Linked DNA regions of Callithrix jacchus. The protein of the gene in region 2 interacts with the protein of the main gene of each other region in a pairwise test. Links are inferred from orthologs where the notes say so. Each region holds a gene or a part of one and is shown on either strand. Other genes may lie near its edges.

What was found.
Region 1: the proteins of PPP3CA (region 2) and AKAP5 interact in binary tests that used the Homo sapiens proteins (3 or more experiments, as listed by UniProt). The link is inferred for Callithrix jacchus from reciprocal best matches to the Homo sapiens genes PPP3CA and AKAP5.
Region 3: the proteins of PPP3CA (region 2) and C20H16orf74 interact in binary tests that used the Homo sapiens proteins (3 or more experiments, as listed by UniProt). The two-hybrid records come from large-scale screens. The link is inferred for Callithrix jacchus from reciprocal best matches to the Homo sapiens genes PPP3CA and C16orf74.

The regions. Positions count from the first base shown.
Region 1 is NC_133509.1:99,112,699-99,122,951, forward strand, and holds the start of AKAP5 (A-kinase anchor protein 5), read left to right. Parts: upstream 1-4,226; 5' UTR 4,227-4,339; intron 4,340-6,858; 5' UTR 6,859-7,119; coding exon 7,120-8,400; 3' UTR 8,401-10,253. UniProt on the Homo sapiens protein: Multivalent scaffold protein that anchors the cAMP-dependent protein kinase/PKA to cytoskeletal and/or organelle-associated proteins, targeting the signal carried by cAMP to specific intracellular effectors.
Region 2 is NC_133504.1:96,028,548-96,039,123, forward strand, and holds the start of PPP3CA (protein phosphatase 3 catalytic subunit alpha), read left to right. Parts: upstream 1-5,065; 5' UTR 5,066-5,799; coding exon 5,800-5,857; intron 5,858-10,576. UniProt on the Homo sapiens protein: Calcium-dependent, calmodulin-stimulated protein phosphatase which plays an essential role in the transduction of intracellular Ca(2+)-mediated signals. Many of the substrates contain a PxIxIT motif and/or a LxVP motif.
Region 3 is NC_133521.1:43,377,520-43,387,991, reverse strand, and holds the end of C20H16orf74 (uncharacterized protein C16orf74 homolog), read left to right. Parts: intron 1-4,486; coding exon 4,487-4,630; intron 4,631-7,244; coding exon 7,245-7,303; 3' UTR 7,304-7,778; downstream 7,779-10,472.

The DNA.
Region 1 (10,253 bases), on a different chromosome or scaffold from region 2:
TGATACTCTTGTATTTAGAGGGGAAAACGTATGCATGCTTGTGTATTTCTGAGAGGACACATAATTAAGGAACCTCCTGAGAGGTTTGGATTGGAAGTTGATGACTTACCTTTTTATCTTATACATTTCTATATTGTTTGATTTTGTTTTTCCACTCTGAGGAAGTACTGCTTACACCAATTTTTGCCTGAACTTCCTTGGAATTCCCATTTCTGTCACAGCTTTAGCACTTTCTATGTTACTTTAGGAAGGGTGGTCATACAGCACTAACTTTAGGTAAGCCTCTGTTCTGTTACTTGGCGCAGCAAGTATTCAGTGAGTTTCTTCTAAATGCCTGGGCTCTACCCTTCTCTACAGACTTACTTTCTTTTCTTTTCTTCTTTTTTGGCGACAGAGCCTCTGTCGCTCAGGCTGGAGTGCAGTGGCACGATCTCGGCTCACTGCAACTTCTGTCTTCTGGGTTCAAGTGATTCTCCTGCTTCAGCCTCCCAAGTAGCTGGGATTACAGGCATGCGCCACCACATCCAGCTAATTTTGGATTTTTAGTAAAGATGGGGTTTCACCATGTTGGCCAGGCTTGTCTCGAACTCCTGACCTCAAGTGATCCATCTGCCTCAGCTTCCCAAAGTGCTGGGATTACAGTCGTGAGCCACTGTGCTTGGCCCAGACTTCCTTTTTTCTAAAACATTAGTTTGGTAACCAACCTAATATTTTTTTCCTCCACTTCTGGCTGGGCATGGGGTGGCTCATGCCTGAAATCCCAGCACTTTGGGAGGGAATGGTGGGTGAATCACTTGAGGTCTGGCCAAAATGACAAAACGCTATCTCTACCAAAAAGACAAAAATTAGCCGGGTGTGGTGGTGGGCACCTAGAATCCCAACTACTTGGGAGGCTGAGGCACAAGAATTCCTTGAACCCAGGAGGCAGAGGCTGCAGTGAGCCAGGATCATGCTGCTGCACTCCAGCCTGGGAGACAGAGCTAGACTCTGTTAAATAAAAAGTAAAATATTTTTCCTTCACCTCTTGCTCTGCATCCTCTATCTCTGTTCTTCCTCTCCCAGTTGTTTCCTTCCCTTTTTCCCCTTATCTTCCTCCAATGACTTTCCAGAGGATGCTGCATCCCTCTGGTGCCAATGCCAAATCCTGCTGATGTTGGCAGAGCAGTAGTTTTCCCAGTGACCTTGGTTTTATTATTTTCAATTCTCTGGGTTCACATCAGTGTTGTAATACAGTCAGTTTTACAGTCCACAGAAATGATAGTGGTGCCTTGAGAGGTGTATGGCTGAGGGGTCATGATGCAGAGTCCCAGTTCTACCGCACAGGGTAGAACTACTCACCCACTTCCCTGCCTCCACATCCTCACCATGGAAATAGGAGCACTGTTGGTACCTACCTTGTGAGGGCGGTTCTAGAATTATTCAAACACATCATCTAAGATGCTCTGTACAGACCCTGGTACATTGTAACCACTCAATGTCAGTTCCTCTTGAAAAGCATCATCCAGGCCCTGTTTGCACAGAGTTAATTGCTTCTGTACTTTTTTTTCCCTTTTCTTATTTTTTTTGAGAGAGAGTCATGCTCTATTGCCCAGGCTGGGGCGTGATCTCCACTCACTGCAACCTCTGCCTTCTGGGTTCAAGCAATTCTCCCACCTCAGCCTCCTGAGTAGCTGGGGTTACAGGTGCGTGCCACCATGCCTGGCTAATTTTTTGTATTTTTAGTAGAGACAGGGTTTCACCGTGTTGGCCAGGCTGGTCTTCAACCCCTGGCCTCAAGTGATCCTCCCACCTTGGCCTCCCAAAGTGCTGGGATTACAGGCATGAGCTGCTGTGCCCGGCTGCTTCTGGTACATTTCTTAAATGTCCTGTGAAAGTTATCTGGAATGGGATTTGCTGGGAATTCATTTTATAGACAAGGCAAGGATGCAGTCTTGTCAGATATGGTGACTTAAAGGTCATCTTAAAGGACTTAGGTTTTCTTATATTGCCAAAAGCCTTGTGGGTTTAAATCCTTAATACTGGTAGGGGCTGGGCATGGTGGCTTATACCTGTAATCCCACCACCTTGGGAGTCTGAGGCAGGAAGATCACTTGAGCCCAGGAGTTCAAGACCAGCCTGGGCAACATAAGGAGACCCTGTCTCTACCAAAAAAAAAAAAAAAAGCAGCAGCAGCATCTGGGCATGAAGTCACATGCCTGTGGAGGACTGAGCCAGGGATTGTGCCACTTGCACTCCAGCCTGGGCAACAGAGCAAGATCCTGTCCCAAATAAAAATAAGACAGCTATTCTACCCTGTCTGCACCTAAATAAGCTCATCTTATTTTTTGGTCTGAAATTGTTGCAACTCCCAGGTCTGCTAGTTTTCAGAAACCTTGGATCTCAATAAGGAATAGTTCTCATGAGTATCATGGAATTCTTTTGGCTTAAAGTTCAAAACTGGCAAGAAGCAGGGCTAGCAACCCATAGAGAGACATGAAGAACATTTTCATAGACATGTTTGCTGAATGAACAAGGTTGACTGAGTTTTGTTTTGTTTTGAGACAGGGTCTCACTTGGTTGCTCAGGCTGGTGTGCAGTGGCACATTAGCAGCTCACAGCAGCCTTGACCTCCTGGGCCCAAGTGATCCCCATCTCATCCTGAGTAACCAGGACTACAGGTGTGCCACCACGCACGCCTAGCTAATTTTTAAATTTTTTTTATCTCCCTATGTTGCCCAGGCTGGTCTCAAACTCTAGGACTCAAGCCATCCTCCTGCCTTGGCCTCACAAAGTCAGCCACTGCACCCAGCCCTGAATTCTTAATTACAACTAAACTTGATGCTTATGGATTTTCCTGCTTTACAACTCTTGTCTCTTTTACCTGTAAATTTAAGATCTTGACAGCTTATATTTGCCTTTGCTTTTGTGTTCCAATAGTTCTATCCTTGGTAAGCCTCTGTGGAAACTACAGAATCTTACAAATATAAAACATTTCCAGAAAAACATCCAAAAATGGACACCTGACATTTATATGCCCTAATATCTTGATCCTGTTGAAGAAAGGAGATGAGCACAGCTGCTTTTCAGTAGTTCTTCACTCCACCTTACTAGGTTCATCTGGATGCTATGCTGTGGGGGACAGACGAGGAAGCTGGGATTGTGAGGGATTCTACTAGACTTTATGGCTGGATCGCCCAGGAATACTCTCATAGGGAGTACTAACCCAAAAGCAAGTCAGCTTCAACTCTAACAGCATCACCTTTCATAAAGTACATGTTAATGCTTTATGTGTACAAATAAATACTTGTGGTATTTTTCACTATGGCAAGCTCCGAAAATGCATGAAGATACGTAACCTAGTCAATCAGGTGGGCAGATGGTGCCTGCACCCTTTGCTGTGACTGAGACTGGAATTGTGAGCAATGTCCTCTCCTGTTCTCCACCCGCCTCCCCACCCCACCACCCCACTTCACTGACAGTGGCGATGTCAAGTAGGCAGCTAGGAATGTCCTAAAGGGAATCATGGGTAACTTGTAAGCTACCTCAACTTATTTTTGTTACTATGTAAAGTATAAGATGGATGGAGCTGGGTTCTTGTGCCTTTCTCACCTTGTCTGCATAGAGATGCAGCTGCTCCTGCAGGTCAAAGTTCTGCGCGAATCACCTCCACCTGCGTACTATTGGGAAACAAAGGTCTGAGAGCCTGTTTGGTGATGAACCACGATGAACTCCTTAACACTCAAGCCACTCCTCAGAAAGTCGGGTTTCTTTCCGTTTCCATTCATATATGTAATTTTCGCTTCAGACAAACAGGACACCTATTCTATGCAGTTTTGAATCCCTCTTTTAAAATGGGATGTCTGCCTTGTCTAAATTTTCTGAGGCGGAGGAGAGGGGAAGTGTAATGGGACCGTCTATAATTTGAAACCCGACCTCACTACTTTGCGTCTCAGAAAACGCGGGGTTCGTTGCCCTGGTCCCCGCGGTCCCCCAACCTTCCGGCTGGCTCTCTCGCCGTCCTCGCCTCGGCGCTGAGGTGGTCAGGCGGCAGGGATTGGCGTCCGGGCGGAGCATGGTGGACTTCCCCGCGGCAGGCAGGCTGCTGCTGCAGGTGGGTCCGGGCGCCCGCACCGCCCCCCACCTCCCGCGGACGCCCCGCCCCTGCCCGCTCGCTCCGCTCGCATTGGTGCTGCGGGCTGTCTGTCCCCGCGCGGTGGGGAGGGGGCGCACTAGGCGGCGGGTTCCGCAGAGGGCGCCTTGCTCCGTGCGCGACCGCGGCTCCCTGGAGGCCTGGGTGCCGGGCCCCGCGAGCGCGCCGCGACCTCAGGAGCAGTGTTGACCAAGGACCCCTGCGCCCTCGGTGAGTGAAGGCAGGGCGGGGAGGCTGCGGGGGAGGAGGGCCGGGGGCAGTGTCAGGTCTGCGGATCGCAGAGTGAGCAGGGGGTGTCCATTGGACACTGGGGATCCGGGCACCCTGAGGTGCTGGGATCGCGGGAGGTGGCTTGTCTGCAGGAATCCGCGGACAGGGCGACCCTCATCAGGTCTGCCCACCTATCTCCTTCGCGTTACAGCTGGTCTTAGAAGCAAGGGTTGCCGGTGGCTTTTTTCCTTCTTTATCCCTTTGGGGAAATGTGATTTTGGGTTTATAGCCATTACATTATAATTCTACAGACAGCTTGAAGCTGGGTTATCTGTTCCACGCCCCCAGCATTTTCCTTTTTGAGTACTTTATCCTGCGCGCTGTCTCCTGCCATAAGGGGCATCAAGCCAGAATTCGAGATTCCTTCCTCCAGGAGGAAGCTTCGTGGTCCATATCTGGTGCTGGGAAGGATACATTGCTTTCCTCGGGTAGTGGTTGCTCTTTGCTGCTCAAGGGAGAAAGGGAAAAAGGGTGTTTTCTGTGACAGGAGACTTGCAATTCTGTCAGGAAATGAGCACAGGGACTTTAAGATTTCCTGAGGCGATAAAGATACCCTTGCTGGTTAAAGGGAAATCATTTGCAGTCTGACATTCTGCAAAGTTTTAATATCTACAGACAGAATTATTTTCCCCCTTTCAATTAAATTTCTGTTTGGGTATTCATTTTATTTCTAGAGTGTATATACATTTAAGTAAGCTTCTCAAACCATTGGCTTTGCACAATCCAGGTTAGTTTCTAAATGATACACTCCTAAACATCTCATTTCAATATTTCTATTATGTGATAATACATCCTCTGCTTAACAAAAATGCTCAGGTGCTGAAAACTCACAAGAGGTGAGAAGATTTAAAGTTATCAGCTGAGGTTCTAGTGCTCACTGCAGCATATAAATGTGAGGAGAAACACTGTCAAATGGTTCATATTTTAGTTCTATCATTGTTCTAGAATGACTTTATCTTTCTCGTAGAGGCATCAAGTATGAAACACCCAACCTAAGGGAATATTTACTTATCATAAACTGATTTTCAGGGTTCCAGTTCCTTCTACAGCTCATAAAATTATGGGTTACCCAAATGAAACTTCAGTGAAGGATTTACATGTAAACAGTATAAAGAATGAGTCCCTTTGCTTATTTTAGGGCGTCCACCCACTAAAATTCATAGGATCTTTGTTAGATAATCACCTCCCATTTCCATTCTTTAGTGCTATCATACCATTCTGTGGATTAAATTTTCAATACACTTTTATATTATCTAACAGTTTGCCAATTGCATAGTTTGTCAACTTATTTTTGGCTTTTAAATTATTTCCTGAACCAAAAAAATAAAATATAAAGAATTTCAAAAGCTTGGTTTTCAAATAACAAGAACTCAGTCTGGTCTTGGTTCAGTTATGAGTTGATTAATGGGTACCTTGTGGTTAAATGACCATTAATCAGTTTTTAAATTTCTTTACTATGAATATACTGCAGATTAGTATCCCCAAAGGATTCATTTTCTAATGAAACTCTTAAAGCCCAGTTTCAGAACATAAGCTTTAAGCAACAAGTAATCTTGTGTTTAATCTGAGCTCTGTTACAGCGATGCCTTAATCTCAGCCAAACTGCTTCATCTGTACCACCTTGGTAATATTGTGGTGAGGAATAGAAATGTATGTAAAGTGTGTGCACTGCCTAATACCCAAGAATTGCTCAATAAATGTCAGCTATTATTACTGACCTCCAACTATGTGCATATTATGGTGGAAACATGATACAGCAGATATAGTACTTAAATCAAAATGTCAAAATTATACAACTAATTTAAGAGTGTAGAATGACAGTAATGCTAAATTTTTCTAAGAGTATGTATGAAAAGTAGCACTTCCTTGATGGAACATACATTTTTAGAACAGAAACCTTATGTTATAATGGAAAAACTAGAGTGTCAAAGTCTCTACTTGTAACTCTGGCTATGACTTTGTCTATCCGCATGGCTTTTGACAAGACAGTTGCTCCCTTTTGGAGCTCAGTTTTGTCATTTGGCTGGATTTGAGTAATCTCAAATAATCTCTAAAGTCCTTTGCAGTTTTAAGTTATTTATTGAGTGTGATAAAAATTACATTAGCTTGCTTTTTATCCTGTACTTCATTTTTGGTTCTTGTTGTTGATTGCTTAACTTGCACTTTAGAATCATAAGCAATTCATACAGACAGCACAACTAAAGAACTGATAATATCAGACTTGCAGAGTAATCCAAAATGAAGTTTCAACAAAGAGGATAAAACAAAATAGAATTACATTGAACTCTTTAATAGGGCCAAAATAAACCCCAGTCTTTATTCTCCAGCCATTTCATTAGTAAATACATGGAAAATATGTCTGGTAGAATCTTATACATTCAACTGAAAAAGTCTCCATAGAAAATAATAGTGAAAAGCCTCATAGTGAAATAAAATATCACTTTCTTTTCTCTCACCAGGTTGATCTTTAAATAAAGCAAAAATTTATCCAGTAAAGGGCTTCCATGAAGAAATTTAAGGAGAGAAATTGCAAGCAATAGAGAAAGTAGGCATTTCTATACTAGAGAAACCACCTAAAACAACTGCATGGAGTAAAATGAAAGGAATGAATACACCTGGAAGAAATTTTACCTAGTGTGACATTTTTGCCCATCTTTTTGTCACAAAAGGCTAAGGAAGAGAGAATATAGTTCTCTAGAGAATAAGAGTACAGTGTGAAAATGGCAACCACAGTTTCAGAAATTCATGTAGAAAACAAGGATGAGAAGAGATCAGCAGAAGGTAGTCCTCAGGCTGAAAGACAGGAGGAAAAAACATCCATGCTTTGCTTCAAGAGAAGAAAGAAAGCAGCTAAAGCATTGAAGCCCAAAGCTGGCTCTGAAGCTGCTGATGTAACAAAGAAGTGTCCCCAAGAAGCAGGAGCTTCTGATCAGCCAGAGCCCCCACGGGGGGCCTGGGCCTCACTCAAACATCTTGTAACACGAAGGAAAAGGTTGGAGTCTTCAAAGCAGCAAAAGCAATTGGAGGCTGAAGTGCAACCTGAAATAAATGCTGAGGATGCTGGTCTTTCTAAGAAAAAGGCAAAATCTAGACTTAAGATTCCCTGCATAAAATTCCAAAGAGGGCCAAAAAGGAGGAATCATTCCAAAATTATAGAAGACTCAGTCTGCAGCATCAAAGTCCAGGGAGAGGCTGAAAATTTGGATATACAAACACAGACCCCATCAAGCGATCAGGCAACAAAGGCTACGTCAACCCAGGATCTAAGTGAAGGCATCTCACGGAAAGATGGTGATGAGGTCTGTGAATCAAATGTGAGCAATAGCATAACTTCTGGAGAGAAAGTGATTTCCGTAGAACTTGGATTAGATAATGGGCATTCTGCTATTCAAATGGGAACTCTAATCCTTGAAGAAATTGAAACAATCAAGGAAAAACAAGATGTTCAACCCCAGCAAGCAAGCCCACTTGAAACTTCAGAAACAGACCATGAGCAACCAGTACTTTCTGATGTTACTCCTTTACCTGCAATCCCAGATCAACAAATTGTGGAAGAAGCCAGTAACAATATCCTAGAAAGTGCACCAAATGGGAAAGACTATGAAAGTGGAGAAACTGTAGCTGAAGAAACTAAGCCAAAAGATACTGAATTGAGCCAAGAACCAGATTTTAAAGAAAATGGGATCACTGAAGAGAAATCCAAATCAGAAGAAAGCAAAAGAATGGAGCCAATTGCTATTATTATTACAGACACTGAAATCAGTGAATTTGATGTTAAGAAATCTAAAAATGTCCCTAAGCAATTCTTAATTTCAACGGAAAGTGAGCAAGTAGGGGTTTTTGCTAATGATAATGGTTTTGAGGATAGAACTTCAGAACAATATGAAACACTCTTAATTGAAACAGCCTCTTCTCTTGTCAAGAATGCGATTCAGTTGTCAATAGAACAGCTGGTTAATGAAATGGCCTCTGATGATAAAATAAACAATCTTCTACAGTGACTTACTCTCCAGAGTCATGGGAGAAAAACCAAGCTTAATGAAGAATTATTTTATACATTTGTGGCATTTCTTACTCAGTAACGAATGAGAGATTTATCATCTCTGGAACTTAAAGGTACAATTACAGTGCAGAAGTGCTAAAGATGGTGAAGTTTATAAAACTCTACCACTGAAATGCAGTCATTTCTGGATTGGAGGAAGTCAGCACGGATCGCACTGTGTAAAGTAACACAACATACAGGGAGTTGCTAAAACGGCATACGGAGACTGGAGTGCTTTGGGGGAGGAAAATGTATTTATTGAGCACTTATGGTATGCCATAAGCTCTTTAATGACCTCTGATATAACAAAGTCTGGTTTCCTTTTGATAATTCAGCTCTGTGTATAGGCTAACATCACAATGAGTTTTTAAAAACATTTTTTATAGTGGACATACATGTTGTTTAAAATGGTGAATAAGGTGAGCTACTTTTGTGAATGTGATTTGTAATTGTTACATTCCTAAACATTAGGCTTAACTCGAAAAATATATTGCATTTTCCCAATTTCAGCAGATACTGTGCAGAATATGCATATTGAAATTAAATATGAGTGGTTTTCTAGTCTTGCTTAAGTCCTTTATAAGAAAGAGCCATTTGGCCAGACGCAGTGGCTCATGCCTGTAATCCCAGCACTTTGGGAGGCTGAGGCGGGTGGATCACTTGAGATCGGGAGTTCAAGACCAGCCTGGCCAAAGTGGTGAAACCCTGTCTCTACTAAAAATATAAAAATAAGCTGGACGTGGTGGTGGACGCCTGTAATCCCAGCTACTTGGGAGGCTGAGGCAGGAGAATCGCTTGAACCTGGGAGGTGGAGGTTGCAGTGAGCCAAATTCGTGCTATTGTACTCCAGCCTGGGTGACAAGAGGGAAACTGTCTCAATTAAAAAAAAAAAAAAGCCATTCACAAATCCTTCAATCAGGCAAATTGTTACTATGTACAGAAGGGTAGAAACAGGGAGTGGGTTTTTACCTCTCTTCTTTCTGCCTCAACAGATCTGTATATGTCCATTTCTGCATGGATTTATCTGTGAAAAATTTAAAAATGAAACAGCAAAAACAAAAGGGGAATATTATTCTTCATCCAGGAGAAGGAAAAATTCCCTAGTAAGTTGTCACAGATAATATAGGATTCATCTTGCAGAATTAACTTCTTTAAGAGCCATATTCATCAACCTCTCTCCAAAGAGGGGAGAGCAAATTCAAAGCCAGCTTGGTAGTAATGGTCCTGGAAAATCCTAATAATCTAGGGCAAATATTATTTATTCTTGGCCAAAAATGAGCCATGAATATGGTTGAATAGAAAGTGAAAAGTTATTGCTGAAGCACATAATTTAAATGTCAGTTTTCCTTTGTGTCTATGTGTTGAGAGAGACTAGTAAAAAGCATTTTACATGGATATTGAAAATTAACTTTTTCATCGCTATTTTCAATCCAGATATTCTTTACAAAAATGAGAAGGGCTTATTTGCATTTTTATTTACCGATTGAAAGGGAAGTATCTAATCTCATCAGTGATTGCCATATTTTTTTAAAAAGTAATCCTATTTCAGTCTCCTTGTGTGAAATGGCCATAATGCACTTCCCTACCTCACAGGTTAGGATTCAAAGTGTATAGTCTCCCATTGTGTAAATTGAGTGATTGTGTTACTACTTGAAACAGATGAAGTAATAAAGTATGGGATGTAAGGCATTTGTTAAAGATCTCCACTTGGAGGAAAGAATGCATATTAGCTGATTTTAAATGATCTTGGTGAAGTATTGCATTGCTTATGGATTGACTATAGAAAGTATTCGCTAATTTGTCCTAGAGAAT
Region 2 (10,576 bases):
TGGCACCATTCACAATTTCAAAATTGGTAATGATATTAGAATTAAAACTAAGAGAAAGGACCAATGACATTTCTCTCCAGCATGATGTGTGTGTGTGTGTGTGTGTGTGCGCACGCATGTTTCTGTGGGGGTGAGTATTCATGTTTTTAATTTGTTGGGTCATACTGAAATTCCTCTGACAGTAGAACTGGTGCTACTTAGGCTAGTAACTTACATAGTAGATACCACTATGTTTTAAAAATTCATTCAACAAAATTTGTTGAGCACCTACTCTGTGCCCAAAACTGGGATTTGAGATGATGATACAAATATATTAATAAATAAAATAAATATGAATATTTATTAAATACAAATGAATAATGATGGCAGATAGTCTTGCCAAATTTTATGTAAAATATCTCTCTCTGTATTACACTTGGCATAAAACTCCATAAATTATAGTTTAATCCTGATGGGAAAAAATTAAATTTATTCCTGAGTTCCTTTGGTATAAAAATGTTTAATGCTCCTTGAAAAATAACGTTTCTAAATGAGTAAAACTGCCTTCCAAAAGAAACAAGGCTCAACAAAATTTCAAGAGTAATCCAAAAAATAAGCAATAAAACTTTCTTTTGGTTTGAACCTCAAATAAGATCTATGTAGAATAGCAAATTTCATAGGACCTCTATTGAAGTAGGGTAGAACTAGACAATGTGAGAAGGAAATGTCACAGGAATTAGCTTTAAGATAATAACCCAAAATCTCATATACATTCATGGCCCTATCATGGTTGACTGTCTACTTGCAGGTTCCTCAGCATTGTGTTCCATGAATCAAGTAAGGATAGGTCAGACATACTGCTGTCTACCATCAGCTACTCAGAAGAAAGTGCATGCCTCAGAAAAGTCATAATCAGAAGCTATCCCTCAACTGTAATGTCCAAAGGGTAACAAATTTATCCAAGAACCAAAGGAAAGTTCAAGCTTTTGAAACCAGGTTATTTCCAAAACAGAATATAACATACAATATGTTATTTTAATTTTAAAAATAAAGCAACTGAAAGAGCACTTAATAGTAAACTAAAATGTACTTAATTTACTATGATTTGTACCAATGGAAGTAAGCTGTGTGGCGCACTTAAATGCATAGATGACTCCAAATCTACAATATTTTCTTTTTTGCCCCACATATTTATCTTCATGATTAGTTTTGATAAAGCTAGTAGTTATTCTCCAATAGAAAGAGGAAGTAACACTTGACACTTAAATGTTTGCATAGATAGATAATATGTATCTAGTGATCATATAACAAGACATTTAAATCCTTGAATGAAAGAACGAAATCTCTGAATCCTTCCTTACTCCCTTTTATGGATCATGTAGCATAGGGCCTTGCAAAGAACAGGTGTTCAAAACACAAGTGGTCAATGAATATTCACTTACAGATAATTAAGACTCCATGCTCATGTACTAAAAGAAATAAGTATTTTTAGTTTTTTGGTAGTTCTCTTATATTAGAGTAAAACAATAATTCTAGGTTTTGCTAAGCATTGTACTTTTTGAACTACCATAATAAATTACTTTTGTATATTAATTTGTTAATATTAGCTATTCTAACACATTTTAATGGAGTAACACAATACATGTGTAAAGCCCAATGCATATTTTCTTAATAAGTGGGCAGCATTCCTCTGCGTGGTAATTAAGGGACTCTCTTTATCTCTGGGGTTCGGCCTGTCCTGGGTCTTAGAAGTTTCTGCATTCAGCTAAAGGATGGGAGCCCATCGACTAGAAAATGTATATCTGCTGCTTAACTGTCTCAGCCTGAGAGAGACCAACCACCTCAGCCCACAGTCCACCGATCAGAACTACCTACTTAGAGGAAAGCAGTGTCAGGCTAGAAATGGAATCCCTTACTGGCAGATAATTCACAGGGGGAATCATACTAAGGAAGGAAAAATACAATTTTCTGATAGACAAAAAGTTGTCTTTTTTTCAAGTTTTTGCCCCCTGTGATTTCTTGATAAGCAGGACATTGTCAAAGTCAGCATCTGGGAACTGAAGCAACCCCTTCAAAATGTAAATTCCAAATATAAGTATTCTCATGCAAGTGGTAATATAATTATGGACTGCTAGGGCAGTCTAACATGGGGGTTCCCAAACCCTGGGCCACAGACTGATATCAGTCTGTGATCTGTTAGGAACTGGGCCGTACAGCAAGAGGTGTGCAGCAGAGTGAGCAAACATTACTGCCTGAGCTCTACCTCCTGTCAGATCAGCGGTGGCATTAGATTCTCACAGGAGTGCAAACCTTTGTGTGAACTGTGCATGCAAGGGATCTAGGTTGCCCGCTCCTTATGAGAATCTAATGCCTGATGATCTGAGGTGAAACAGTTTTATCCTGAAACCACCCCCAACCCCCACCCATGGAAAAATTGTCTTCCACAAAACCAGTCCCTTGTGCCAAAAAGGTTAGGGACCTCTGGATAGGACAGAAAAAGAGTGGCAGTAGGAAAGCATAGGACATCTGAAACAATATCTGAATCAAAAAGATGATCTGGCTGTCTACTTCAGAAAGCCAGGTGTATGAACACAAGTAGTCTGTAGTTAATATGCTGCTGTCCTATTTTCCTTAAAGCAGGATCTAATTTTGTTTAAGAAGTGTCAGTGTTGCAGCAGTTATGGAATCATACACAGGCATTAAAAGTTCCTGTTGATAATGTGTTGGGAAGTGATTATGAGTCATAACTACTTTTTCCCCACACATACCTTAGCTAGGAGGTGTCCTAGACTTATAGCGGACTAAAGGGTGTGCCTGAAAGGTGTGCCTTTATTTCCTATCTATCATAAAATTTTCTATGGTGCTTACATTTTAAGCCTTCTGATCTTGGTTCAAAGATGTTTATCTTATACCTGGTAGAAAGTCCAAGTAACAGTGGGAACTTCATTTTCTTTCTAATATGTGAGAGAGAGTGTCTTGGCCTTGGAAATGAGCATCTCTGGACATGGTTTCCTGGTCTTTTCTGAAACAGGTCCTCTTCACCCACAGGTCTTGGCATCGCTCCCTCACTGTGTGCCATCTGGCCAGGGACCAACTTCCCAAATCTGCCTTAGCAACCAGCTCTGCTCGTGTTCAGGAGGCTGTTTTCAACAACCCCTTCCTGAGATTACAGTGATGTCTCAGAGCTCATAATTTTATGTTCTCTGAAAATTCTAGGCTTTATTGAGGGCAAGGACCATTTTCAAATATATTCTCCCCCCACCAAATTACCCACCACAGTGTCTGGCATATAGCAAGTACAGAAAATGTATTTATTGAATGAATTGTCTAATTGCCACCCAGTATCCTGGGGTTGGAAATGGGGCAGGAGAATCTCAGTGCCAGTGGCAGCCCCCCTGGGCTGGTGGGCCACACCCTGCATCTGCTCCCTTTGCTAGGCATCCACAGAAGTATCTAGTGTGTGTTTCTTTTCCGTGCAGTCCACATCAAAGTCATGCTGCAGCACCATCAGTCTCTTACTAAAACTTAATTTTCAAGTTTGAGCTTTAATCTAATCCTTGTCTCCAAAACACTTCTCCTGGCTCCATCTCCCAGCTCCCTAAACTTGTTTATCTTTTCTTTGTGTGTGTGGTGTGTCTGTTGGGGGGGGGGTACCTTAAATCATTTATTGGACCCGTGGTCCAATTGAGGAAACAGAAAAACCCTGATACTGAAGGACTTTGGAAATATAATAGGAAGGATGAAGGGTAATACATTTTTTCAGATTTCCTCATAATTGCCCCAAAAAGCTCCAACCATGTTGCCAGTCCTCGGGTGTTGCGGTTGTTCAGGGAGAGGGGCTGTGTGGAGGTGACCTTCTGGTAGAGGGAGACCGGCTTTTTCAGACTCTGTGGCTCAGCAGGCGGGCCAGGAAGAAGCATTTGGACCACTATCATTCTCAGCCCTGGCGCGCCTGACATTCTCTCCTTCACTTTCCTTCCGACCGGAGGGACCAGTGTGGGGATTCGCTTTGGGCTCCAAGGCTCTGCCCGCACCGGCAGCACCAAGCAGGTGTCGAATGATTGGAAGGAGCAGGGAAGGAAGATGGGTGTCACCTGTCCCGGCCAGAGGCTGCGTACGTGTGTGTGAATGGGGAAAAGGTCACCCTCTTCCTTGCTTCTCCTCGGTTCTCCTTGGAGACCCGCAGGGCTGCCGCAAGGAACTCCGAGTTGCCCGGGGTCGCCGGGGCTCGGTCCCATCCTCTTCCGCCAGCCCGCTCCCGCGTTCCACAGCGCCCTGGAACTGTGGTGCACGCCTGGGTGGGACACAGTAGCAGCCGCCACACCGCCAACGCAAAAGCCCCACTTTCGCTTGGCAAAAGCAAAAACAACCGTACACCCCATCGCAGTCGCAGCTCTTCTCCGAAAGGTAAGTTGTTTATCCGTCGCCGTTTCGGCGATACTCCCTGGACAGCTGCGACAGCGACAGCAGCTGCGCCGCGGGCGCCGAGCTCCCAGCCTCTTCCTTCCTCCTCCCTCTCAGGGCTGCCTCACACCCCCACCCCCTTCTCTCTTATCCCCGCCTTCTCTCTCCTTGCCCTCTCGTGGGCCACGCACACACCAGGAGACACCCTCCGCACTTGGCTACTCACACTGCGGCTTAACCTAGCCGACAAGGCACGCTTGCCAAACAGGCGCGGGGGTGTGTGCGGGGTCCGAGTTCGGAGGCCACAGAGGGGTGGCGTGGTACAGCCCATCTCCTCTGGGCCGCGACCCCTTGCCCACTCTCCTTCCCTAATCTCGGCCTGCCAGCAACAGTGACACCTGAGCAGGGACTGGGCGGTGGAGGCGGCAGGCCCGCTGGTCCGGCAGCCAGGAGAAAACAGAGCGAGGGGCGGGGACAACCAGGAGGAGCGGGAGGCGGGACGAGCGGGGAGGCCGCCACCTGGCACTGAGTGATGCACAACCGAGCCAATCAGCGCGCGGGACTCCAACGTCGGGGCGGGAGGTCGGGGGCGGGCTCCGTGGGGAGGAGGAGGTGGCCGGCGCGCGAGAGGCGGGGGCCGGGCGGAGGAAGGGGAGGAGGCGGAGGCGGGCGCGGTGGCGGCGGCGGCGGAGGCGGCCGAGAGGAGTAGGTTGTGCCCGGGACTGTGTCTGCCGAGCTCCGCTGCTGTGCCCGTGTGAGTGGAGAAGCGGCGCGGGGAGGCGGAGGCGAGCGCGGGCGATCGCGACGGCGGGACGTCTCTGGCGGCCGCGGCACCAGCGGCGGCGCTCGGTGTGGAGAAGCAGCGGCAGCGGCAGCAGCAGGAGCTTCAGCGGCAGCAGCGGCGGCCGCCTCTCCGCCGCCGGGGACGCCAAGGTGCGGCTGGTGGCACTGACACCGGCGGCCCTGCCTCTCCTCCCTCGCCCCCGGCCCTCCCCATGTGATCGGTCTTAATCCCGGCCGTGTGTGCGCGCGTGGGGCTCCATTCCGCGGTGCCGGGTCTCCGTGCCGTGGTGGGTGCTCCTGTGTGCGCTTCTCCTCCCCATCCCCCTTCCCCCAAGAATAAAAGAAGAACCGGGAGGCGTGCTCAGAAAATAAATAAATAATCACCACACACGCGCAGCCCGGAGCGAGTCGGCGGGGCTGGCGGCAGCGGCGGAGGAGGAGTGAAGGCGGCGGCGGCGGAGGAGGGACGCGCGGAGAAGGCAGCAACTTTAAAGCCAGCTCAGAGCCTAGACCTCCAGCCGAGCGGTTTGCAGCGCGGCGGCGGCGGCGGTGTTGAGTGTCTGGCCCGCCGGTCCGGTCGGGGTGTGCAGTCGGAGGGACGAGCAGCGCGTCGCTGTCCTCCGGCGGCTGGAGATGTCCGAGCCCAAGGCAATTGATCCCAAGTTGTCGACGACGGACAGGGTGGTGAAAGGTAAGCGGAGCGCCGCGGTGGCCCGGGTGCACCGTGTGCCGCAGGCGCCAGGGCAGCTAGCCTCGCCTCCCCTCCCCCGCCCCGGGTTCTCCTCTGCCCTCTCCAGCCGCAGACCTTCTAGGATATTGTGCAACCCGCGAACCCCCCGCCCCCGCGGCGCCCTTCCCCCACGCGTCCCACCCGTCCTCACTTGGGGCATTTTTATTGACGGGGGCGTCAGTTGGCAAATGGCTGAGCGGCGGGGAGGCGGCGGCGGGGGTGGCGGTGGCGGGAGGGGGCGCCCGGGGGGTGGTTGCTGGCAGGGTGTAGCTGCTGTGACAGAAATAGGAAGTGGGTGGCTGCTCTCAGGCTTGCATGGGATCGGGTTTATGGTTTTCTTCTGCAGAGGGACGGGTGATTTATGGCTTTTAAAAAATTAATATGGCATTTTTATGTGGCCGTGGCTTTCCACCGACTGCCTCGCTCGGGCAGGGTTCTGTGGGCGCTCCATTGCAGCAATTCCCTCCGCGCCCCTTCCCCCTCCCCCTGGAAGGGCCTGCACAGGACTCGCGAGAGAGCGGGAGAGCGTGGGGGGAGCCAGGCGCTTCCTTCCGCGCGGGGCGCGGGGCGGGGGAGGGGGCGGCCGCTGGCTGGAGGGTGGCCGCGGGGGGCGCGGGAGGTGGGTAAGGACCCGAGAGCACCAGCCGTCGCCGCCCAGGGATTTCCCTCGCACGCCCCTGGAGAGACACGAAAACCACTTCTCAAGCCTTCCTCGCTATCCCCGGCTGTCCCCCGCCGACCTGTCATTGCTTCTGAAGGGTTCTCCACTCGTGCACACCTCCCAAGTGATAACCTCATTCCACCTGCTTCCTCCGTGCCCTGGCATCCCTTTTGTAACGGGCTGTTTGATTCCTATTGTTATCGCCCCCTCTTCCCTGCCTCCGGGGTGATATACTCCTGGCGGGAATGGCACTGGGGTTGCTGGCAAAGAGAAACTGGGATTTGCGGAGTTAGGAAGGGGACAGGCTGGGGTTCTCTTTATCGCAGGGTAATCCACCGGCCTCCTTGTATTCCTAGGTGTAGTGAGGGAGGAACCATCCTTAGAATCCTGGAAGGATGAAGCAACAGAGCAGATCCACCTTGATTAAGTAGTATCTCTCATTCCTGGGGTCAGGACAAGCTAAGCAGAGATGGGCATGAGCTGTGAGCTAAGCGGGCCTCTGAAATTGGAAACAGCACTGGCTGGTGTAATGTGTATGTGTGTTGTGTGTAGAACAGAGATGGTATCTAATGTGGCCAGAGCATGCAATTAGGGTGCAATGCAATCAAGTCGTTTGCACCATGAGCACTTAAGTGAAGTGACCCAGCAGCCCAGAGACCATGATACACAAGTCCCTCTGGGATTTCCGAAATGATCCTTTCTCCTTACAGGCTTATTCAGTTTTGAAAGTAATTTTTCTGTGTGAGTGGTGGTGGTGATGGGGGAAATTGTTTTCCCTTTTTTCAGAAAGAACAAAATATCTTCTTTTATTTTGGTTATACTGGAATCATTCCTGCTTCAGTTTCAGTGCTTCAGATTCGTATACCCAGAACATAATGAGGAAATAGCTCTGCAAAAATGATTCGAAATAGGGCTGCAGAGAGATGCACAACTATTTTATTTTTTCTGCCGGCATGGATTTTCATGGAAAGAGACCTGTGTTTTGCATTAAAGGCTTCTGTTGACATTTTCAAAAATTGAGACTCTCTGCTGAAATATCAGAGAATGACAATTATCTCCTTAATGTGTGAAGTTTAGACGTAACTCCAATCTAGGTTAAGATCAAAACAATGTAAAGCTTACTATTCAAATGATACCAGTGGATGTGTTGGCAATTAAAAAAAACAGTCCTGCACAGGTAAGGTCACAGTCCCTGTTTTAAATCACAGGATGTGGATTCTTAATGTGAATGTAAAGTCATCAGGTGAACATGTAAAAATAAATGTTTATACTCTCTGGCTTAGTGTCTTTATCATTTAAAATGGAAGAGCCCACTCAACCATTCCAAAGTTTTTTTGCCTTGCTTTTTTTCAATGCTGTATCATTATAAATGACTTTTCATTTTAGGTACACACACCCACTCATAATTTCAAAAATTCTATTTACATACTTTTGCAGAACTGAAATACAAGTGTGGATAATAGACTCAAAATAGGAAAAGTTAATTTTGCATTTGTTTTGATAGAGATCCTGATGTCAGATGTGAAATGTGAAATTTTGTTTATAGAGGTTTTGTTGATGAATCCTGATTTTAAGGTGGATGCACAGTTGCTGTTTATCCTATGTTTTCTTGTAGACTTTATATTATCAGCATGAAAGGCATTATCCAAGGTTGGATTCAACATTTTGTCATAAATAACATTTTTATGATTAGTTATTGAAATAATCTATTTTGATTATTAGACTTCTGTGAAATAATATTTCCCCTTGAATATGTATACTACTCAATGAATGGAAAGTATGTGTATGCTGGATGTGAAACATTAACAAATGATTTTTTTATATTTGCAAAAATTAGATAATATGGAGTTAAGAGACCATGATTTTACTTGAAATTTTGTTAGAACTCCATCTCAATGGCCATTTAACTCATTCTTTAATACAGAAAAGAAATTATCTTTAAGGAATTATTTGTGCCCCTTAAGTTTTCTCTTTTTTACAAAGTATATGTAGTATTATTTTCTATACATAATACAGAAATAATTATTCAGACCGTTATTACCATGGCGCGCCATGATATTTACTTACAGTTTTCTTTGTTAGTGTCATCTGGCTTTTGTTGTATAACAAATTGCTCTTTGCAAATAAAGATGTGCTTGTGGTTTGTAGTAACATGATGTGACTGTTTTCCTAATTGTGCTTTTAGAATGCAGCTTCAGAGAGGTAGGTTGAGTTTGTTTCAACTATGTTATTTTTGAGGTTTATAGAATCTGCTAGTATGTATTCAGAGACCCTGATCAGTTTTCTAAACTTTAAAAATGAAAGAGAATGATGGCAGTGGAGACGAAAGGTATTCATTTAGATTACCCCAGGAGAAAAAGTTACTTCAATTAGCAAAACTAGTGCTGTTTCATTTTGACTGCTCTTGGATTAAAATAATGGAAAGTAGAAAAATTCAGAGAAAACATCTCGGTAATGACATTTGCTGGAAATCAAAATAATTTGATCCATTTATTGTTCTACATTATATTTTTAAAGAGACATACAGCAAACTGAGGGCAATAAATAGAAGAACTATCTTCTTCTCCCCAACCCCATCCTGATTTTTCTCTTAGTTGTATTCTACAGGCTTTGTTCCAAACTTTGGCTTTTCTCTATTTCTCTCTATTCCTGCCCGGAATGCATTGTCTGGCCCTAGCATTCCCTATTGGTCACAGAACTTTGCTACATGATAGTTAAAAATACTTAGATGAAATTAAACCCTGTGTGATAATGAGTGTTTGGCTTTGTTACATCTCTTAACCTTCCTTCCCTCTCTTCCCATCTCCAAGTATTTTGTGATGGGACTTTTACCTTAACTCAAACTGATTGTAATGGTAGATATTTTAGAAACTATGGCAGGCTGCTGAGGGATAAATTTCTGGGTAGAGTTTTGTGGAATCTCTCAGAAACTAAGTGCTTTGTGTAAGGTTGCTTTTGGCGCTACAAAATGAGCTGTTTTCCAGGTGTATTAGCTTATGTACTTTGTGTAGATAGAGTACTCATAGGAGAATTCTGAAAAGATACTAGGGTCATAGAAGCAAGATGATGCTAGTTAAGTTAAATGTTAGTAAATAGGGATTCCAGCCACTAGTATTTCTAGCTGGGTGAGACTGGTAATACTACTTAAAAAGAAAACAAATATGCTACATTGGTAGTAACTGTAGACCATGATGCAGAGGAGTGGTAAATAATGTCATTTATTTGTGGTGTTCTAAGAAGAACTTGTGAATTTATTTTATTGACATTTTCTTACCATCAGTTGATTTTCGAATATCTGGTTTTCAATTTGAGTATAGTGAAACCTTATTAATTCAATATCACAAATTTAAATTTATTGTGAATATCATCAGTGTTTGTTGTCTGAAGTTTACATCACCACTGGATGTGAAAAAAAGGGTACCAGTAATCTAAAAGTATAAACAACATAGTTTCAGCATGGTTAATATACTAAGAGAACAAATTATTTTCAATACTTAGTGAACAATATGCAAATTCATGCTGTTCATTACAAGTTAGGTTGGTCTATTTATTAATGTTTCCTTTTGGGACTATTACAAAATGACCATAACACAAGTGCATTGTTGTAAAAACATTCAGTAAATTTAAGGATTAGTGCAACAATTGAGACTAGAATTCAGGGGCATTCCAGCGATTCTAAAATACCATCAATTAGAATAATCAACATTTTGAAGATAATGGTTTTTTTTTGGGAAATAACCCTTATTTTAATTTAAGACATCTAGTAAAAATGGGAAAAATTAACATCTAGAATCTAATTATTGAGGTTTACTCTAAGATTTGTTTGTTTAAAATTATGCCTTTTAAAGTCTATTTGTTTCTTTATGATTTGTTTTATTTGTAATTTTAGATGAAATATGACTTTGATATACTATTCGTTTATAACTTTTGTAGTTGATCCCTTATGCTTTTTTTTATCTTTTTTTTTGTGTCAGCTATGTGTAAATTTGAAACTAATTATGACATCAAATAAAGAATCC
Region 3 (10,472 bases), on a different chromosome or scaffold from region 2:
CCTGGGTGACAGAGCAAAACTCTTGTCTCGAAAAAAAGAAGGTTCAAAACCCACTGCATTAGGCCTGCTTTGGAGGGGCCGTGTGGGGGCTAAGCATTGCGTCGGGGAAAGGTCGCCTCTTCCTACAAACTCTCCAGTTGGGGCCAGGAGTCTTCCAAAGGAGGGAACAGGGTTGGGGTTCAGAGGGTGGGAAGGTGACGGTGGCGGGGGAGGGCAGTGGCTGGGGGGAGAGGAGGATGCTGGTCACTGTGGGTTTGAGAATGAGGTCAGTGACCGTGCATAGAATGAAGGTGGCTCGTCACGGTCACCTCACTCCGGTCATGTGTGCCAGGGACTGTGGCAGTCTCTCCCCAGCCCAGGTAGTGGCTGATTCCCCCACTACCACCCTGAGCTTGTTGTCCATGAAAACAAGAAGTCTGTGAAGAGTTAGACTCACTGTCACGTGGAGGGGTGCATAAGACCACCTACCCTTCTGCCGCCAGCTGCAGGTTTGGGGGTTCCCCAAAACACCCTCCTGTTTGCTCATTTGCTGAAAGGACTCACAGAACTCACTGGAGGCTTTGATTCTCGGTTATGGCTCATTCCAGGGAAGGGACCCAGGTCAAAGAGGAAAGGGAAGGTGCTCACAGGGCAGATCCCAGGAGGCCCCAGGCACAGGCTCCTACCGTCCCTCCCCGTGGAGCTGTGGACAGCGCCCACTCCTCCCGCCGATGACGATGGTGTGTGATGGCACGGAGCATCGCCAGGTGGGAAGCCCCTGGCCTCAGTGGCCACAGTTCTTATGGGGCATTATGGGCTGAACTCTGTCTCCCAAAAATTCCTAAATAATCCTCCTGGCCCCAAGGGCCTCAGAATGTGACCTTGTTGGGAGTAGTGTCTTTGCAGGTGTACTGAGCTGAGATGAGGTTATTTTAGTAGTGTGAGCTCCTAATACAAAAGGACGAGTGTCTTTATCAAAAGGGGAGATCTGGGCCGGGCTTGGTGGCTCATGCTTGTAATTTCAGAACTTTGGGAGGCCGAGGCGGGCGGATCACCTGACGTCAGGAGTTTGAGACCAGCCTGGCCAACACAGTGAAATTCTGTCTCTACTAAAAATACAAAAATTAGCTGGACGTGGTGGCACATGCCTGTAATCACAGCTACTCGGGAGGCTGAGACAGGAGAATTACTTGAACTCAAGAGGTGGAGGTTGCGGTGAGCCAAGATCATCCCGCTGTACTCCCGCCTGGGCAACAGACTGAGATCCATCTAAAAAACAAAAAGGAGAAATCTGGACAGAGACAGGACACAGGGAGAAACAGTATGAAGGCAAGAGGCAGAGGTGGGTGATGCTTCTACAAGCCTAGGAACGCCAGATTGTCAGCAGCCACCAGAAGCCAGGAGAGGGGCCTGGAACAGTCTCCCTTGCAGCCTCCAGAGGATCCAGCCCTGCCGACACCTGGATCTGGAACTTCTGACCTCTGGATCTGTCAGACAATGAATGTCCTTTGTTCCAGCCCCCCGGTTTGCTGTGGCAACCGCAGGAGACGAAGGCATGGGGGCTTCTCTGGAGGCTGATTGATTGCTCACTTGGAGCTCAGGCTGCAGGCTGCCGTCTCTCTGGGCATGACCCAGGGCCCCCACCATCAATCACATCTTTGGAAGCCAGGTATAACCAAGGCCCCGGCAAACAAAGACTCTCCTATCAAGCAGGATATTCCAAGGGCTGAGAGAGCACCTCCCAGAAACTGCGGACAGAAATCAACCTCTTTTTAGGCAAGGTTAAATTCTTTTTCTTTTTTTCTCTTTTTTGAGATGGAGTTTCGCTCTCGTTGCCCAGGCTGGAGTGCAGTGGCGCGATCTCGGCTCACTGCAACCTCTGTCTCCTGGGTTCAAGTGATTCTCCTGCCTCAGCCCACTGAGTAGCTGGGACTACAGCCACCTGCCACCATGCCCAGCTAATTTTTTGTATTTTTATTAGAGATAGGGTTTCACCATCTTGGCCAGGCTGGTCTTGAACTCCTGATTTCAGGGGATCCATCTGCCTCGGCCTCCCAAAGTGCTGGGCCAGATTCTTTACTATGCACAGGGTCCAGAGAGGAGATGCAGTGCACCCAGGGTCACACAGCTGGTGGCCTGATTCCAAAGTCAGTGTGTGTGCTGCCTTCAGTTTTTCTGAGCCTACAGCTTTCATCAAGGGGCAAGTGAACCAAGAGTTTGGCCTGAATGGCATGGCTTCAGGTCCCCTAGGTGCACATGCTTTCTGTGGATTCAAACAGACTGTCCCGGACAGCCCAGAGGTAACCTGCCCCTCAGAGGAACACCCCTTTGGTGAACAAAGGTTGCCCTGAGAAGCCCCCTGTGATTTCACATACCACAGCCAGGTATGCGATCCCCACTGTGCACCTGCCATCCCTTCCTCCCGAGGTCAGGGAAAGATTTGCTGACTCTGTCGGTAATCTATCATTGCTTAACAAACTATGCCAAAACGTTGAGGCTTCAACATCAAGCTTTTATTATCTCAGAGTTTCTGTGGGTCAGGAATTGAGGAGTGGCTTAGCTGCCTGGTTCTGGCTCAGGGTCAATCAGCCAGGGCTATAGTCTCATCTGGTGGCTGGACTGGGGCTGGAGGCTCATCTGGTGGCTGGACTGGGGCTGGAGGCTCATCTGATGGCTGGACTGGGGCTGGAGGCTCTGCTGCTGAGGTGCCTCCCTCATGGCTGTTGGCTCAAGGTCTTAATTCCTCACCCGCATGGGCTTCTCCATAGGCCACTTGAGCATCCTCATAACATGGCGGCTGGCTTCCCCAAGAGCAAGCAGTCTAAGAGAGAGCAAGAAGGAAGTTGCCATGTCTTTCATGACCTCACCTTGGAAGTCTCGCACCATCATGTCTGTCCTATTTTGTTTGTTGGAAGCAAGTCACTAAGTCCATCTTACACTCCACCTCGTAGGGCCGTAGTTTAGAACCTCCACACTGACCCTACGATGGTCACTTAGGAACATTGCCCTGATGGTGGTCACGGGAGGCCTGAGAACATTAGGAAAAATAGGTCCCCCCAACCCCTTATACTCAGCGCCTCCTGTTGGTCAGGGGCTCTGGTGCTTGAGCTAATTTAATCCTAGCCTGGCACTGTTTGGGGCAATCCCCAGAGTGACGGGTGTAGAGACAAAGACTGATGGTTTTGGTTGCATTTAAATGTTATTTTATTTTTTTTTTTTTTTTTGAGATGGAGTCTCACTCTGTCGCCAGGCTGGAGTGCACTAGTGTGATCTCGGCTCACTACAACCTCCGCCTCCCAGATTCAAGCAATTCTCCTGCCTCAGCCTCCCGAGTAGCTGGGACTACAGGCATCCACCACCATGCCCGGCTAATTTTTGGATTTTTAGTAGAGATGGTGTTTCACCACTTTGGCCAAGATGTTCTCAATCTCTTGACCCCGTGATCCACCCACCTTGGCCTCCCAAAGTGCTGGGATTACAGGTGTGAGCCACCTCAACACCCCCCCCCCCCGACTTTTTTAAAAAATTAAGACAGAGTCTTACTCTGTCACCTAGGCTGGAGTGCAGTGGAACAATCTCAGCTCACTGCAACCTCCACCTCCCGGGTTCAAGTGATTCTCTTCCTGCTTCAGCCTACCGAGTAGCTGGGATTACAGGTGTGCACCACCACACCAGGCTAATTTTTGTCTTTTTAGTAGAGGCAAGTCTTCACCATGTTGGTGAGGCTGGTCCCCTACTCCTGACCTCAGGCGATATACCCACCTCGGCCTCCCAAAGTGCTGGGATTACAGGTGTGAGCCACCACTCCCGGCCAGCATTTAGAATGTAAAGCACTCCTACTTACTCTGTCATGAGCATGTCCTAGGCTCAAGGGAAACACAGGTGAATGAAGTAGTGACTGTCCTCCTGGTGTTCACAGCAAAGAGCGACAGAAACGAAAAAAAAAAAAATCATTGATGAATGAGTGAGTGCAGATGGGCAAAAGCGGGAGCCGCAGGTCTGCTGGGGTGCCTTTCCCAGGGAAGAGCCTGGCGCACTGGGCTTTGAAGGATAAGGAGGAGCTTGTTACTCTGGCAGAGAAAGAAAGAGCGTCCCAGGCCAGGGGAACAGCATATGCAAAGGCATGAAGGGGCCCAGGGAGCCGGGGAGTCTGGGGAAGTATGAGTGCTTTGGAGTATAGGGGCTGATGGCTGCAGGTGAAGCTGGAACTAGCTGGGCCACATGGTGAAGGACGAAAACTGGACCCAGAGGCTGACTGGCCTGTGAGCCGCATTTCCCAAAATCTGTTTCCCGACTCATGGTTCTGTGAGATGTGACAGGGGCTCAGTTAGCATTCCTGAGACTCGGGTTTTCATCTGTGGGGCGGGGACAGCGGCGCCCTTTGCTGTGAGGCGTCAGGACTCAAGTGACGGTGAATGGGGGGGCGGCCCACGGTTCCTGGCGGCCACTGATCCTGTCTCTCTGTCATGTGTGTACGTGCGTGTGTGCTCCACGCCTGGCTTCTCAGGCTTTAAAATGTGTGTCAGCAGCAGCAGCAGCAGCCACGACGAGGCCCCCGTCCTGAACGACAAGAACCTGGACGTGCCCGACATTATCATCACGCCCCCCACCCCCACAGGCATGATGCTGCCGAGGGACTCAGAGAACTCAGGTGAGGCCGCCCCCTGCGCCAGCAAGCCGGGTCGGATCTGGGGGCCCAGCAGAGACCGCTCTCAGGGGCATGCTTCTGGGCACGGGACTGAGCTTGCATCCTCGCCTCCCCCGGGTTCATTAACCATTTAGTGTCAGACTTGTGTACACTGCAATGTGAGCCCCCCGCCAAGGCGCCAGCCTCAGCGCAATGTGGCGTGTTAAGTAATTAGTAGACAGCCCCTGCCAGCCAATTGATGGATGGAGCCAGGCTGGCCCGCCACGCCAGGGCTCCCGCCAGCCAAGGTAACTGATGGATGCTCCTTCCCCTGCCAGCGGGAGGACCACTGCTCCATCTTGTTGGCCGCTGCCGTGTGGCTGGACAGGACAGACTTGGAAACACAGCCCACGCCCATGCCAAGGCTGGGGCTGGACCCTGGGCCTTCCAGATGCAGCTCACTGCCGGGAACGGGGAGGAAGTGGAGTTCTTCCCAGTGAGAGGGTGCGGGGGTGGGAGACAGAGCCCCAAATCGCGCTCCCACCTGCCCCTCTGGAGCTGGTGGAATGACTCGTTCACGTGTTCAGCGAGCAGAGATTTATTGAGCTGGGCCTACGCCAGGTACTGAGGCTGCTGCTGTGAATAATAATAACAATAATGGTGATACCAGGTCGTGATAGGTAGCACCGTACTGAGTGTAATGAATGGATTTCCTTTTGTCTTGTTTTGTTTGAGACGGAGGCTCACTCTGTCACCCAGGCTGGAGTGCAGTGGCGAGATCTTGGCTCACTGCAACTTCCAACCTCCAACTCCCGGGTTCAAGCGTTTCTCCTGCCTCAGCCTCCCCAGTAGCTAAGATTACAGGCATGGGCCACCATGCCCAGCTAAGTGTTTTGTATTTTCAGTAGAGACGGGTTTCTTCATGTCGGTCAGGCTGGTCTTGAACTCCCGACCTCAGGTGATTCACCTGCCTCGGCCTCCCAAAGTGCTGGGATTATAGGCATGAGCCACTGTAACTGCGCTATTTTTATTTATTTTTTGAGATGGAGTTTGGCTCTGTTGCCCAGGCTGAAGTGCAGTGGCGTCGTCTTGGCTCACTGCAACTTCTGCCTCCTGTGTTCAGGTGATTCTCCTGCCTCAGCCTCCTGAGTAGCTGGGATTACAGGCAGCCACCACTATGCCTGGCCAATTTTTGTATTTTAGTAGAAAGGGGTTTCACCATGTTGGCTGGGCTGGTCTCAAACTCCTGACCTGAGGTGATCCACCCACCTGGGCTTCGCAAAGTGCTAGGATTACAGGAGTGAGCCGCTGCGCCCAGCCACACCCCCATTTTAGAAATGGGTAAACTAAGGCTCAGAGAGGTTGAGACACTTGCCATGCTGCTGGTTGGTGGTGCAGCAGGGATAGAACCCCAGGCTATGTGATCTGAGCTTCGTCCCACGGCCCCCAGGCCGGACGCTCTCCCTGCGGGTGGCACCAGTCAGCTGATAGCCATCATGACATGGGTCCTCCTGGACCCGTGCAGGGCACACAGCACCCATGAGGCTTGTGTAGGGTTTGTGGAAGGCTGTCTGGGAGGGGGACTCCATAGACCCTTCCACATGTCCTGAGTTTGGGTCTCCCCTTGCTCAGTAGAGCAAGTGACTGGGAGAAAGCTGTCAGGCCCCCTGGGCTGGGCCAGCGCAGGTGTTATGGTGGTTGCAATAGGGGCACATTCCTCTGTGACCTTTCCGAGTGCATGGCACTGGCTAAATGCTTTTCATAAATCTCATGTAATTCTCATTCCAACTGTGAGGTGGTGAAGACCACCCTTATCTCTAGTTTAGAAATGGGGAAACAAGCCAGGCTCCATGATTCACGCCTATAATCCCAGTACTTTGGGAGGTCGAGACGGGCAGATCACCTGAGATCGGGAGTTCAAGAGCAGCCTAACCAACATGGAGAAACTCTGTCTCTACTAAAAATACAGAAAATTAGCAGGTATGCCAGGGGGCGCCTGTAATCCCAGCTACTCTGGAGGCTGAGGCAGGAGAATCGCTTGAACCCACGACGTGGAGGCTGCAGTGAGCCAAGATCGTGCCATCAAACTCTAGCCTGGGCAACAAGAGTGAAAACCCATCTCAAAAAAAGGAAAAGGAAAAGAAATGGGGAAACAAACAGGTCCAGAGAGGGACAGTGCCTCACACAGGGGCACACAGCAAGGTGGGAGAAGAGCTGGGCTCCGGCACCACAGTGGTGCCTAATCAGAGAGCCAAGTGTGGGCAGACAGAGGCCCAGTCCTTAGCTCGGCTCTCACAGTCCCTTCCCTCTCTGAGCCTGTGCCCTCACCTATAAAGTGGGATCATACCATCTTCCCTGCTCCCAGGACCAGTGTGGGCACAGCGGAGACACAGGGTTACTCTCCAAGGTCCAAGCCCCAGGGAGGTTCCTGAACCCTGGGACAGGTTTCTCTTAAATTTAAGCATCTCCAGGGTCTGATTCACCCAGATGGATCCACCATCACTGGGTCCCATCTCAGCCTCTGGCAGCACCAGAAAACAAGGACACCCAGAGACCCCTGCCCTGCAGCTCCCAGGGAGGCGGGCCTGGGTGTGGTGGGGGCAGGGTGCATCCAGGTGTCCATCCCTCTTTCTCCTAGTCTGGCTGGATGAGACAGGGTCATGCCCAGATGACGAAGAAATGGACCCGGAAGCCTGAGGCGGTGTCATCCAATGATCTGGTGGACTCTCACTCCAGCGTCCTGGCTTCAGGTGTCCGGGGGCGTGGCTGCCTGGGGAAGGTGGGCCGAGCACCATGGATGGGAACAGCAAATCCGGGCTGCCGCTCAGAAGGACGTGGCAGGACCAGCAAGGAATCCGGCCTGCCTGCTTCTACAACAGGGTTTCCCAGGCCCCGCTGAGTGGACGCACCCCTGACGCCTCCAGGTTCTTGCCGACTCTAGCCTGGTAAGAGAGAGCGCCATGGTCCTGGCTGTCGGGGTCCCAGGGAAAGGCCTTTTTCTGGACAAACACACCCTCCCAGTCCCCTGGGCCGGGCAAACATGGGTCTCTGCCATCAACACAAACAAGAACGTCTTGCAGGCGTAAAAGTGTTCTTTTACAGATATGGAAACAGTCCAAAATGGGATTTATAATTTCTTTTTTGCATATAAATAAAGATCCTCTGTAACAAATGGTCAATCCTTTTCTCTTTTTTCTTTTTTTTTTTGACGTGGAGTCTCCCTCTTGTCTCCCAGGCTGCAGTGCAGTGGCATGAACTTGGCTCATCACAATGTCCACCTCCCGGGTTCAAGTTATTATTTTGCCTCAGCCCCCTCAGTAGCTGGAATTACAGGCAGGAGCCACCACACCCAGCTAATTGTTGCATTTTTAGTAGAGGTGGGGTTTCCTCATGTTGGCCAGGCTAGTCTCGAACTCCTGACCTCAGGTGATCCGCCCACCTGAGCCTCCCAAAGTGCTGGGATTACAGGCATGAGCCACCGCACCTGGCCTCAAACAGTGACTCCTGCTTCTTGGGTCAGGAGGCGGCGGTGGATGGAGCACACGAGGCACAGCGTGGGTGTAAGAGAGACACTTAACACGGAGGAGCGGGTCTGGTGTGCAGGCCGTTGTGGAGGTCTTGAGCCCCTTCTTTTTCAGCCTGTGTGGAGGCTTCAGCATGGCCCAGGCCTGGGCTCTGAGGTCACATGGACCTCGTTTGAGTCCCAGCTGTAGGATCCTGGTGATAACACACCTGTAGGGTGAGAGGCAATATTGTGTTGGTTTTTCTAACAACCTCACATCGGTGCCAGGTGTGGTGGCTCACTCTTATAATCCCAGCACTTTGGAGGCTGAGGCAGAAGGAGCTTGAGACCAGGAGTTTAAGACAAGCCTGGGCAACATAATGAGACCTTGTCTCAATCAGTCTCAAACACTAAATGGTCAGTGTTCCCAGCTTCCCACAGAGCACTCTGACATTGGTGTGCATATGTGTGTAGTGTGTGTGTGCATGAGTGGGTCTGTGCAGGTGTGTGCATATGTGACATGCATACATGTGTGCATGTACGCATGTATGTGCATGCATGCGTATGTATCGTGCATGTGTGTTTGCACATGTAATGTGTACATGTATGATGTGTGTATATGGGTGCAGTTGTGTATATGTGGGTGAATGTGCATCTGTGTATGTAGGTGTGTGTGTATGTGTGTATGTGTGATGTGTGTATGCATCTGTGTATGTGGTATCTGTGTGTACATCTGTGTGCATGTGTGATTGTGTGTGTCTGTGTCCATGAGTGTAGGTGTGTGCATGCGAGTGTGTGTGGTGTTTGTGTGCAAGTGTGTGATGTGTGTATGCATCTGTGTATGTGTGTGTACGTGTGTGCATGTGTGATGTGTATGTGTATCCATGTGTGTGTGCAGGTATGTGTGGCTGTGTGTGTGTGTATGGCGTGTATTCATTTTCTGTGGCGTCTCCTGAGTTTGGTTTTTCTTGTGTCTCAGGGTCCCCAGAGCAAGGCCTGAGCTGAGGCTTTGGGCGTAAGGGGGAGATTTGGAGGCGGTCCCAGGACACCCATGGGAGTTGGGAAAGGCAGTTCAGGGGTCCCCAAGACCACCCCCAGGTCTAATCATCCACCAGAAGAACTGAGAAAAGCCATGTGCATCTTGTTGATGGCTTATGATGGCAAGCAGATACAGATTAAAATCAGCAGAGGGCAGGAGACCCCAGGACAGGACAGGCGCAGGCTCCCAGCCATCCTCTGACCGCTGAGTTGTGGAGAGTGGGCAAGTGCTAACTTTTGACCACGATGTGGGACCACACGCACAGAGCATCACCAACCAGAGACACCTCGAACCTCAGTGTCCAGAGGCTTCATCGGGGCTCGGCCACATCGATGTGGCAGACACCGCATGGCTGACCTTAGTCTCCAGCTTCTCCAAAGGTCAGCTGACAGCATGTAGCCCCAGGCCCCACCATAAATCCCATGCTGAGCCTAGGCCACCCTGTGTAGCCCACGACCTCGGCAAACAAAGACACTCTCATCAGGCAGGACTCTCTGAAGGCTACAAGTGATGGGGGAAAGGCCAGGCCTGTCTCTGGACATGGCTGATCTTTTGTTGTGCAAGAGGCCAGGCAGGGTGGGAAGGAGCTCGTAAGGTGCCATGGAGGCCTCTGGGGAGGCAGTGTGGATCCCTTCAGTGAGCGGGCCCCTGAGGGGTGAGATGTGGGGTGTGTATCCTCCCACTCCCACTCATCACTGGCCAAGAGCAGCTTCCAGAGTCACCCAGCATTCCCGGCCTGTCCACCCACGGACAGCAGTGCTCACAGAGGATGTGTGTGCACGCACCGGGCTCTGAGTCCTGGGGATATGGCGGGCCCCGTGGCTAGGGCCCACTCTCTGGATACGTCCTGCACGCGGCCACAGGGCCAGTCTCAAAAGCCCACGCTGTGTTCAACACTCTGTTGTCGCTCCTTGAAATTCTCAATCAGGGTCCAGCATGGTGGCTCGTGCCTGTAATTCCAGGGCTTTGGGAGGCCAGGGTGGGTGGATCACTTGAGCCCATGAGTTCAAGAGCAGCCTGGGCAACATAGAGTCCCATCTCTTCTAATTTTTTTCTGAGACAGAATCTCACTCTGTCACCAGGCTGGTGTGCAATTGTGTTGTCTTGGCTCACTGCAGCATCTGCCTACTGGGTTCAAGTGATTCTCCTGCCTCAGCCTCTCGAGTAGCTGAGATGATAGGCATGTGCCTCTACACATGGCTAATTTCTGTTTTTTGATGTGGTGATGGCATTACAGCCACCTGGGGGCCTCTGCCTACCGTCCCCCTCAGCCCATCCTCCTTACAGGTTCACACCTGTTGGAGGAACCGGTCCACATCCTGGGA